Macaca mulatta: one gene and its partner. The protein of the gene in region 1 purifies or fractionates together with the protein of each later gene. This does not show direct contact. Links are inferred from orthologs where the notes say so. Each region holds a gene or a part of one and is shown on either strand. Other genes may lie near its edges.

Region 1 (5,014 bases):
TAGATAGTAGCTTAGGTTTTCCTCTAGTTTTAAAATCCTGTGAGTCAAAGATTGAGAGAACGTTAGGATTGAACAGAGCACATGGTGTGTGCCAGGGATGTGCAGCGGTTCCAGAGGTGAATAAATGGATAGTCCCTCCTCTCCAGGAGCTGGCAACCTGTTGTTGGTATCAGGCTGTAGTGCCAGAGGGTGACATATACAGCTGGGGCTTCTAGGAAGATTGGGAGGGAGTGGAAAATTGGCCAGTGCAGTTGACGCATGAATAACAGAGGTTTGAACTTCAACCAAATGCCAATAAAAAAAGACAGCATTTACAGAATGTGAAACATTTATATGGAGGGCAGATTTTTCATATATGGGAATTCCACAAGGCTGACTGTAGGACCTGAGTATGTGTGGATTTTGGCATATGGGAGTGGTCCTGGAACCAATCCCGTGTTTACAGGGAGACAGCTGACTTAAAAAGCCGTCCTGCCTGAAGGCCAGGCAAGACAGGGAGTGTAAAGGAGAGGAAATAGTTTATACAAAAACCCAGATGCTGGAATAGTCAGGGAATTACATGTGGGCCAGTATTTTGAGAACGCAGTCTGGTCATGGGCCAGACTGTGAAGAGCTTTATATGCTGTATTCAAATCGTGTAGTGTAGGTGTCTTAGTTGCCTTGGAGGAAATGTGAACAGGCAGGTCACATTAGGCTTCTGTTTGGAAGACAGGTTTGGTAGCTGGAAGAAAGGGAGACTAGTGGCAGGAAGTTAAGATGTCAGAATTAAAGCAGTGACGGGGTAGGGGATAGAGAAGGGGTAGATGAATGTGCTGGAGCTAATGAGAAGCACAGTGTGCGCTGTTGTGTAGCTTGTGCACAGCCAGTTTATCACATTCTGTTCTTGTCAGCAGACTCATCTACACCATGATGCTTTATCTTTGAAATGCATGCGGGAAGAGAAGAGGGCAGAGCAATCACTGAAGGAGGTCCATGTGTTCTTCCTTGGGGTCAGGACACCGCCATCCTCCTCCCAGAGTCCTTTCTTTTTGTACCTCTTGGTCCTGTTTGTTGTGGTGTCCCTTCCTCCACTGCCTGTTAATTTGTCACTCTGCTGTGTAATATTGATAACTGACAAAAGTCAGCCATTGTTAGCATCAGTAGTCACACCAGCAGTCTTCTGAGTGCTTATCAGAGAAGTGAAGTTAGGTGGTTGGTTTGAGAAGGATATGATTACACACATGGGCATAATTCCATAGTGGATTACTAAAGAGAAAGTAGACAAAGATGGTGTCAGGAGTGGTATCTACTGTAGTCTTTGGTGTCATTTCATAAAAGTAAGTGTTCAGGCCTGTACAGTGGCTCACGCCTGTAATCCCAGCGCTTTGGGAGGCCGAGGCGGGTGGATCACGAGGTCAGGAGATTGAGACCATCCTGGCTAACACGGTGAAACCTCGTCTCTAATAAAGATACAAAAAAATTTGCTGGGTGTGGTGGCGGGCACAGTCCCATCTGCTCGGGAGGCTGAGGCAGGAGAATGGCGTGAACCCGGGAGGCGGAGCTTGCAGTGAGCCGAGATCATGCCACTGCACTCCAGCCTGGGCTGGACGGAGCGAGACTCTGTCTCAAAAAAAAAAAAAGTAAGTGTTCAGGCTTAGTGGATTGGACTCCTCTCACTGTTAGGGCAGGATGGTGAGCGAAATACACAGAATTCTATCACAGGGGACACACATGATCACAGATACAGTTTTGATCACTTTTTTTTTTTTTCCAGGTTCAACTTCTCGTCTTGTTGTTCTTCTTATACTATAGGCTGTTTGCTCTGGTTTAGTCAAAAAGCCATGTAGAATGCCTGCCTTTTGAAGACCAATTTTAAGGTGTCTAGTAATACAGCAGGTAAGTCTAGTAGGGAAAGCATGCTTAGGAGAATATTTTATGAGGAGAAAATTAAAAAAAAAATACTTGGAGTTCTTGAAGGAAATCTCTAAAAGTATACACGCCCTTATGGATATAACGTGTGATGTGCGCTAGATATACATAATTTGGGATATGAGAAGTGAATTCTGTAGCATTCTTTTTAGGTTTAAGTATGAGATTGGCCTGAAGAGCTGATGGTAGGCAGCGGGAAGAGGAGGGCTGGCTGGGAGGGATGGGGAATGGTAGGTGAGTCTGACTCAAACCCAGCACACCTGAGCTCTTAGTCTCTGTTGTAATTACAGTATGTAATATAGTGCTCTTTAATGTTAGCTTGGCTGTTCATTATTGCCAGTTATAGCTGCATGGGATTATTGAGACTTATTCTCCGGTTTCCCTTAAAGTCTTCTAGTTTTATTTAACAATGGGCTCTGAGACGGATGGTTAACCCATTATTTCTGCATGTATTCAATTACGTTTGTAAGTTAAAGATCATTTTTAGAGATTTTTCTTCAGTACTGAATTATTTATTTTTCTTTTGTTACAGTCCTAGTCCTAAAAACAATATTCTAAAATACAGAATAACTGCTGGCAACGCAGAAAGAGTAAATAGTTTCCAAAGAAAAGTATTTATTTCCTCAAATACCTGTTACCTTTTTAGCTTTAGACCAAAAAATAAAAAAGGCAAATGATATACCATGGATAAAAGTGTTAGGAAACAGTATTGTCGTTGAGAACATCTTTAAAAACAAGTTATCAAAGTTAGAAATATTATACTTTTTTTTTTTTTTTGAGACGCAGTCTCGCTCTGTCACCAGGCGGGAGTGCAGTGGCACAATCTCAGTTCACTGCAACCTCCAACTCCCTGGTTCAAGCGATTCTCCTGCCTCAGCCTCCCAAGTAGCTGGGACTACAGGCACACACCACCATGCCTGGCTAATTTTTGTATTTTTAGTAGAGACTAAATACATGTTGGCCACGATGGTGTGTCCCACCTATGAGTGAGAACATGCGGTGTTTGGTTTTCTGTTCTTGCGATAGTTTGCTGAGAGTGATGGTTTCCAGCATCCATGTCCCTACAAAGGACACTAAACACCATGTTGGCCACGATGGTCTTGATCTCCTGACCTTGTAATCCACCCACCCGGCCTCCCAAGTGCTGAGATTACAGGCGTGAGTCACTGCGCCCGGCCTATACATTTTTTTTTTTTTTTTTGAGACGGAGTCTCGCTGTGTCTCCCAGGCTGGAGTGCAGTGGCGTGATCTCGGCTCACTGCAAGCTCCGCCTCCCGGGTTCACGCCATTCTCCCGCCTCAGCCTCCCAAGTAGCTGAGACTACAGGCGCCCGCCACCACGCCCGGCTAGTTTTTTGTATTTTTAGTAGAGACGGGGTTTCACCATGTTAGCCAGGATAGTCTCGATCTCCTGACCTCGTGATCCCCCCGCCTCGGCCTCCCAAAGTGCTGGGATTACAGGCTTGAGCCACCGCGCCCGGCCTACATTTTTTTAAATTAATGGTTTTGTAATTAATAAAGGGAGAGCCAGAGTTTCTAATCTGTACCATTCTTTAAGATGCAGTAAATATCATTACCATCAATAAGGGAAAAGTGTTCAGTCTTTCTCATTAAGAGAAGCACATTAACACAGTAGTGAAATACTGGCTTTCACCTAGGTTGTAGCAAGGATTAGGAATTTATATGAAATTGTCTTTCATATATACACTGTTGTTTTGCAGTAATGTAAGTTTTCGAGAGTTTGGTAAAATGTATCAATTTTAAACACAAATGGCTAAGTAATCCATTTCTAGGAATTTTCCCTGCAGAAATAACCTTACATGCAAAGATAAGTACAAGGAAAGTCAGTGCTTACTCCATATGTAAAAATGTCTTAAAGAGATGAATTCTAAATGAGAGTAAGTTGCCAGATAATATGTTTAATATCCCATTTGTGTAAAGCATGTGTGTTAATCAATATATGCCTAGGACATTTCTTCCAGGACACATGAGTACACTGGCTACCCCTGCAGACTGACACTCCGTATCTTGTACTGTGTGAATGTGTTTTGTTTTTTTTTTATATTTTAAGTTCTAGGGTACGTGTGCACAACGTGCAGGTTTGTTACATATATATACATGTGCCATGTTGGTGTGCTGCACCCATTAACTCGTCATTTACATTAGGTATATCTCCTAATGCTATCCCTCCCCCTTCTCCCCTCCTCCCCCCCCACAATAGGCCCCGGTGTGTGATGTTCCCCTTCCTGTGTCCAAGTGATCTCATTGTTCAATTCCCACCTATGAGTGAGAACATGCGGTGTTTGGTTTTCTGTTCTTGCGATAGTTTGCTGAGAGTGATGGTTTCCAGCATCCATGTCCCTACAAAGGACACGAACTCATCCTTTTTTATGGCTGCATAGTATTCCATGGTGTATGTGTGCCACATTTTCTTAATCCAGTCTGTCACTGACGGACATTTGGGTTGATTCCAAGTCTTTGCTATTGTGAATAGTGCTGCAGTAAACATACGTGTGCATGTGTCTTTATAGCAGCATGATTTATAATCCTTTGGGCATATACCCAGTAATGGGATGGCTATGTCAAATGGTATTTCTAGTTCTAGATCCTTGAGGAATTGCCACACTGTTTTCCAGTGGTTGAACTAGTTTACAGTCCCATCAACAGTGTAAAAGTGTTCCTATTTCTCCACATCCTCTCCAGCACCTGTTGTTTCCTGACTTTTTAATGATTGCCATTCTAACTGGTGTGAGATGGTACCTCATTGTGGTTTGGATTTGCATTTCTCTGATGGCGAGTGAGGAGCATTTTTTCATGTGTCTGTTGGCTGTATGAATGTCTTCTTTTGAGAAGTGTCTTTTCATGTCCTTTGCCCACTTTTTGATGGGGTTGTTTGTTTTTTTCTTGTAAATTTGTTTGAGTTCTTTGTAGGTTCTGGATATTAGCCCTTTGTCAGATGAGTAGATTGCAAAAATTTTCTCCCATTCTGTAGGTTGCCTGTTCACTGTTATGGTAGTTTCTTTTGCTGTGCAGAAGCTCTTTAGTTTAATTAGATCCCATTTGTCAATTTTGGCTTTTGTTGCCGTTGCGTTTGGCATTTTAGACAT
Region 2 (5,249 bases), on another chromosome or scaffold:
CAGTGGCTCCTGCCTGTAATCCAGCACTTTGGGAAACTGAGGCGGGCAGAACACTTGAGGCCAGGAGTTCGAGAACAGCCTGGCCAACACGGCAAAAACTCCGTCTCTACTAAAAATACAAAAATTAGCTGGGCATGGTGGCACGGGCCTGTACTCCCAGCTACTCGGGAGACTGAGGCATGAGAATCGCTTGAACCCAGGAGGCAGAGGCTGCAGTCAGCCAAGATCACACCACTGCACTCCAGCCTGGGCGACAGAGCGAGACCCTATCTCAAAAACAAACAAACAAACACTGGAACAAATACAAAAACCTAGACACCAAGTAGTAATTTCTAGCAACCACTATTCTTCATTAGATTCCTCCCCACAGATACCACTCCTCAAAAGAAAAAGCTCAGTTCTGCCTCTGGAGAAGAAGCAGAAAGTTCCTAACTTTAGTTCTATAATCTGGGAGATGGATCTGTACGTCATCCAAATAAGGCTAGAGTCAGTGACCATAGCTAATTACATAACTCGGTGTTAACTACATTTCCTGGGCCCTTTCAACCACATCTGAAGTTTCCTTCACTTTCTTCACCTGTACCAGCACCAGTAGCGCTGGTGAGTACCCAATTGTTTGCTGTTTACAAAGTAGATTCATCGTAAAGCTTCTAATATAGTAACAATACAAGGCTTTAGTCTCACCATTTATTTTCTCTCCCATTTAAACAACTTCAAGAGACAGGTTAAGAAAAAAATCAGGTGATTAAAGTAGATGGAACTACTGAGACTACCGTCCCTTCTTACTCAATCTTGAGCCCTTAGTGCCAGATGGCAGATAGCAATTCAAAAAGCTCTCCCTCCAATTATAAATATCACACGTACTAGATAGAGGAAGCTCCCAGTTCTGACCAAGCTTTGTGTGATCTCAACCAAGCAGTTATGCTCCATCTTTTTGTCCATCTCTAACCTACTCCTTTCACTTGGAAGGTAATTAACAACGGCGACCACAATCTACCGCAAGTCTCCCGTGTCCACGTAAAATACTCGCCATTGCCCCCAGTCTTAGCCGTTTAAGTAAATGTCCCCAGTCTTTTACTACGATCACTCCTCCTCCATTCGCAACAAACTAGGACCGAAAGGTCCACATGATCCTTCTTCCTTTCCGATTAAGCCGGGGGAGTAGGAAGTGAAAGATATACTTTGAAGGTAAACTGAAAAGTCGGTTTTTGGATCCCCAGCAAGCCCTTGCCTTAATGCCGGGTGGTAAGAGAGTCCCTCCCTAGGATGTAAAGCGATGCCACCATCCCGAGTGCCACTACTGACGCTCAAGCCTACGCCCCCTCACCTGAGCGCAGCCCCTACTCCCCGAGGCCCCGCCCACGCACTCTCACCTGAGAACAGCACCAGCTCCCCACAGCGACACCGCCCGCGCCCCACCATATAGCCAGATCACGGCTTCTCCTTCCGGGTGAGTCGCCGGTGCCCCAGTGCACGACGGGAGACGCCCTAACCCCGGCTGCCCAGGACGCCCCGCCTTTACAGGCCCGGGCTCTGAGTGGGATTCCCGCTTCCGAACGGCGCAGTTCCGCTTGCCAAGGCCCGGGACTGGAGTCGGGATCCCCCCTCCACTCACTTGGGACGCTAGAGAGTGGACGCAGGTGCGGGGTGAGGGACGGCGAATGGGCTCGGATATCCAATCCGGGGCCGCTTTCCGCCCACTGTCAGGGGAAGCCAATCAGCGGCCAGGGGGCGTCCGCAACGGTCAGCCAGTGGGTCGCGAGAGCAGAGGGGTGTGAGGGGATTGTTACTCTTGTTCCCTTAATGCGAGGTACGGTCTGCAGTGTGGGAGGTTCGGGGCTTTAGGAAGCCCACATCCCTGGATCCTCACTAAGTCTCGAGAGTCACCATTGGAACCTCGTAGTTTGTTGTTCCCCAGCGGAGCTATCAAGGGGACTCCGATTCCGATTCGTAAAGCCACTGACCGATTGTCAGAGTGAAAGCCAGACTCGAGAGGGTCCGGCGACTCAGATGGCTCACACCAAAACAAACTGGAAGCAGCATCATGCAGCTAGGGAGCAAGAGAAAACCGTTCAATGTGTTGAAGACTTTTGCGATGGTCTTTTAACAACTTATTTAAAGATAATTTCAGCAAGTCTAGCGCGGTGGCTCACGCCTGTAATCCCAACACTTATTAGAGAGGCCGAGGCGGGAGGATCGTTTGAGGCTAGTCTTGAGACACGCCCTACCAAAATTTAGGGAGACTCTCGTCTCTGCAAAAAAAAAATTTAAAAATTAGCCAGGCGTGGTGGCATGTGCCTGTAGTCCCAGCTACTAGGGAGGCTGAGGCAGGAGGAAGTCTTGAACCAGGGGTTCGACGCCGCAGGGAGCCCTGATCTCTGCAGAGCAAGACCCTGTCTGAAAAAAAGAAAAACAGCTAAAAGGAAGAAAAGAAAGGGGCCGAGCACGGTGTCTCACGCCTGTAATTCCACCGCTTTGGGAGCTGGAGGCGGGTGGATTACCTGAGGTCAGGAGTTCGAGACCAGCCTGGCCAACACGGTGAAACCCTGTCTCTACTAAAACTACAAAAATTAGTTGGGCATAGTCATGGGCACCTGTAATCCCAGCTATTCAGGAGACTGACGCAGGGGGATTGCTTGAACCCAGGAGTCGGAGGTTGCAGTGAGCCAAGATTGCGCCATTACACTCCAGCCTGGGAGACTCCATTGTAAAAAAATAAAAATAAAAATAAATTAAGGAAGATAGCTGGATTCTCATATGTGCTTCCCCTTTCTCTGTTGTGCTCTGTTGTTTTGGTACATTAAGAAAATTCAGCCTTAAATAGATATGTAGTTGAGAAAAGGAAGAGTATATTTAGCCTTCTCAAACAATTTTGAATATTCTTCTTTGATACTACCCAAATTCAACAAATGGTAACTTTTCTTTGTTTTTTTGAGACAGGTTCCTGCTCTGTTGCCCAGGCTGGAGTGCAGTGGCAGGATCACAGCTTACTGCAGGCTCAACCTCCAGGGCTCAAGTCATCCTCCCACCTCAGCCGTTGGAGCTGCTGGGACCACAGGTGTGTGCCACCATACTCGGTTAATTTTTTTAATTTTTATACAGATAGAGGCTCCCTATGTTGCCGAGACTGGAAGTGTTTATTTATTTATTTATTTATTTTTTAAGTACACACCACCTTGGAGATGGAGTCATTTCTTAAAGGTTAAGTGGGCCGGGCGCAGTGGCTCACGCCTGTAATCCCAGCACTTTGGGAGGCCGAGACGGGCGGATCACGAGGTCAGGAGATCGAGACCATCCTGGCTAACACGGTGAAACCCCGTCTCTACTAAAAATACAAAATTTTTGTATTTTTACAAAATTTTTAAAAATACAAAATTTTTGTATTTTTGTATTAGTCTCTACTAAAAATACAAAAAACTAGCTGGGCGAGGTGGCGGGCGCCTGTAGTCCCAGCTACTTGGGAGGCTGAGGCAGGAGAATGGCGGGAACCCGGGAGGCGGAGCTTGCAGTGAGCTGAGATCAGGCCACTCACTCCAGCCTGGGCTACCGAGCGAGACTCCGTCTCAAAAAAAAAAAAAGGTTAAGTGCAGGCCAGGCGTGGTGGCTCACACCTATAATCCCAGCACTTTGGGAGGCCGAGGCGGGTGGATCACAAGGTCAGGAGATCGAGACCATCCTGGCTAACACGGTGAAACCCTGTCTCTACTAAAAATACAAAAAATTAGCCGGGCGTGGTGGCGGGCGCCTGTAGTCCCAGCTACTCGGGAGGCTGAGGCAGGAGAGGCAGGAGAATAGCGTGAACCCAGGAGGTGGAGCTTGCAGTGAGCCGAGATCACGCCACTGCACTCCAGTCTGGGAGACACTGCGAGACTCCATCTCAAAAAAAAAAAAAAAAAAGGTTAAGTGCAATAGGGAGTCTGAAGCCATTTAAAAAATACTGGTACAGAATTATGCAGATCAGTCAATGTTAATGCATTTATTCAATGTAAAAAAAATCACATTTATTAAATTCATCACTGATCTCATCAGGAAAGTCTCAAGAAACTGCATACTGACTAGCTGGGATTACAGGCACGTGCCACCATGCCCGGCTAATTTTTGTATTTTTAGTAGAGACGGGGTTTGACCATATTGGTCAGGCTGGTCTTGAACTCCTGACCTCATGATCCACCCGCCTCGGCTTCCCAAAGTGCTGGGATTACAGGTGTGAGCCACCATGCCTGGCCTCACATGTCTTAATATTAAGACAGCCTCGACCTCCTGGGCTCAAGTGATCCTCCTATTCAAGCCTCCTAAGTAGCTGGGACCATAGGTGTATGCCACCATGCCCGGCTAATTTTTTATTATTATTTGTATAGATGAGGTCTCACTATGTTGCCCGGCCTGGTCTTGAACTCCTGAGCTCAAGCAGTTCTCCTACCTCGTCCTTCCAAAATGCTGGAATTACAGGGGTGAGCCACTGTGCCCATTTTTCTTTTCATTTCTTTTTATTTTTTATTTTTTGATTTTTTGAGATGGAGTTTTGCTTTCGCTCTCATCTCCTAGGCTGGAGTGCAATGGTACGATCTTAGCCCACTGCAACCTCTGCCTCTTGGGTTCAAGCAATTCTCCTGCCTCAGCCTCCCGAGTAGCTGGGATTACAGGCATGCGCCACCATGCCCAGCTAATTTTTTTGTTTATTGGAGGCAGAGTCTCGTTCTTCGCCCAGGCTGGAGTAAAGTGGTGCAATCTCGGCTCACTGCAACCTCCTTCCCCTGGGTTTCAAGCAATTCTCCTGTCACAGTCTCCTGAGTAGGTGGAATTACAGGCGCCCGCCACTACGCCTGGCTAATTTTTGTATCTTTAATAGAGACAGGGTTTCACCATGTTGGCCAGGCTGGTCTGGAACTCCCAGCCTTAGGTGATTCACCCGCCTCGGCCTCCCAAAGTGCTGGGATTACAGACATGAGACACCAAGCCTGGTTTTATTTTTTTTTTTTTGAGATGGAGTTTCACTCTGTTGCCTAAGCTAGAGTGCAATGGCACAATCTGTGCTCACTGCAACCTCCGCCACCCAGGTTCAAGCGATTCTCCTTCCTTCAGCCTCCTGAGTAGCTGGGATTACATGTGCCCACCACCATGCCCTGCTAATTTTTGTATTTTTAGTAGAGACAGGGTTTTATCATGTTGGCAAAGCTGGTCTCGAACTCCTGAACTCAGGTGATCTGCCCGCCTCGGCCTCCCAAAGTGCTGGGATTACAGGAGTGGGG

What was found. Proteins that work in one complex are often made in the same cells at the same time.
Region 2: the proteins of CHAMP1 (region 1) and CBX1 purify together in Homo sapiens (affinity purification with mass spectrometry; 6 studies listed by BioGRID and IntAct, with this or other methods). This does not show direct contact. The link is inferred for Macaca mulatta from reciprocal best matches to the Homo sapiens genes CHAMP1 and CBX1.

What each region holds. Positions count from the first base shown.
Region 1 is NC_133422.1:108,394,842-108,399,855, forward strand, and holds the start of CHAMP1 (chromosome alignment-maintaining phosphoprotein 1), read left to right. Parts: upstream 1-1,776; 5' UTR 1,777-1,875; intron 1,876-5,014. UniProt on the Homo sapiens protein: Required for proper alignment of chromosomes at metaphase and their accurate segregation during mitosis. Involved in the maintenance of spindle microtubules attachment to the kinetochore during sister chromatid biorientation.
Region 2 is NC_133421.1:61,909,353-61,914,601, forward strand, and holds the start of CBX1 (chromobox protein homolog 1), read left to right. Parts: upstream 1-1,728; 5' UTR 1,729-1,803; coding exon 1,804-1,810; intron 1,811-2,940; coding exon 2,941-3,058; intron 3,059-5,249. UniProt on the Homo sapiens protein: Component of heterochromatin. Recognizes and binds histone H3 tails methylated at 'Lys-9', leading to epigenetic repression. Interaction with lamin B receptor (LBR) can contribute to the association of the heterochromatin with the inner nuclear membrane.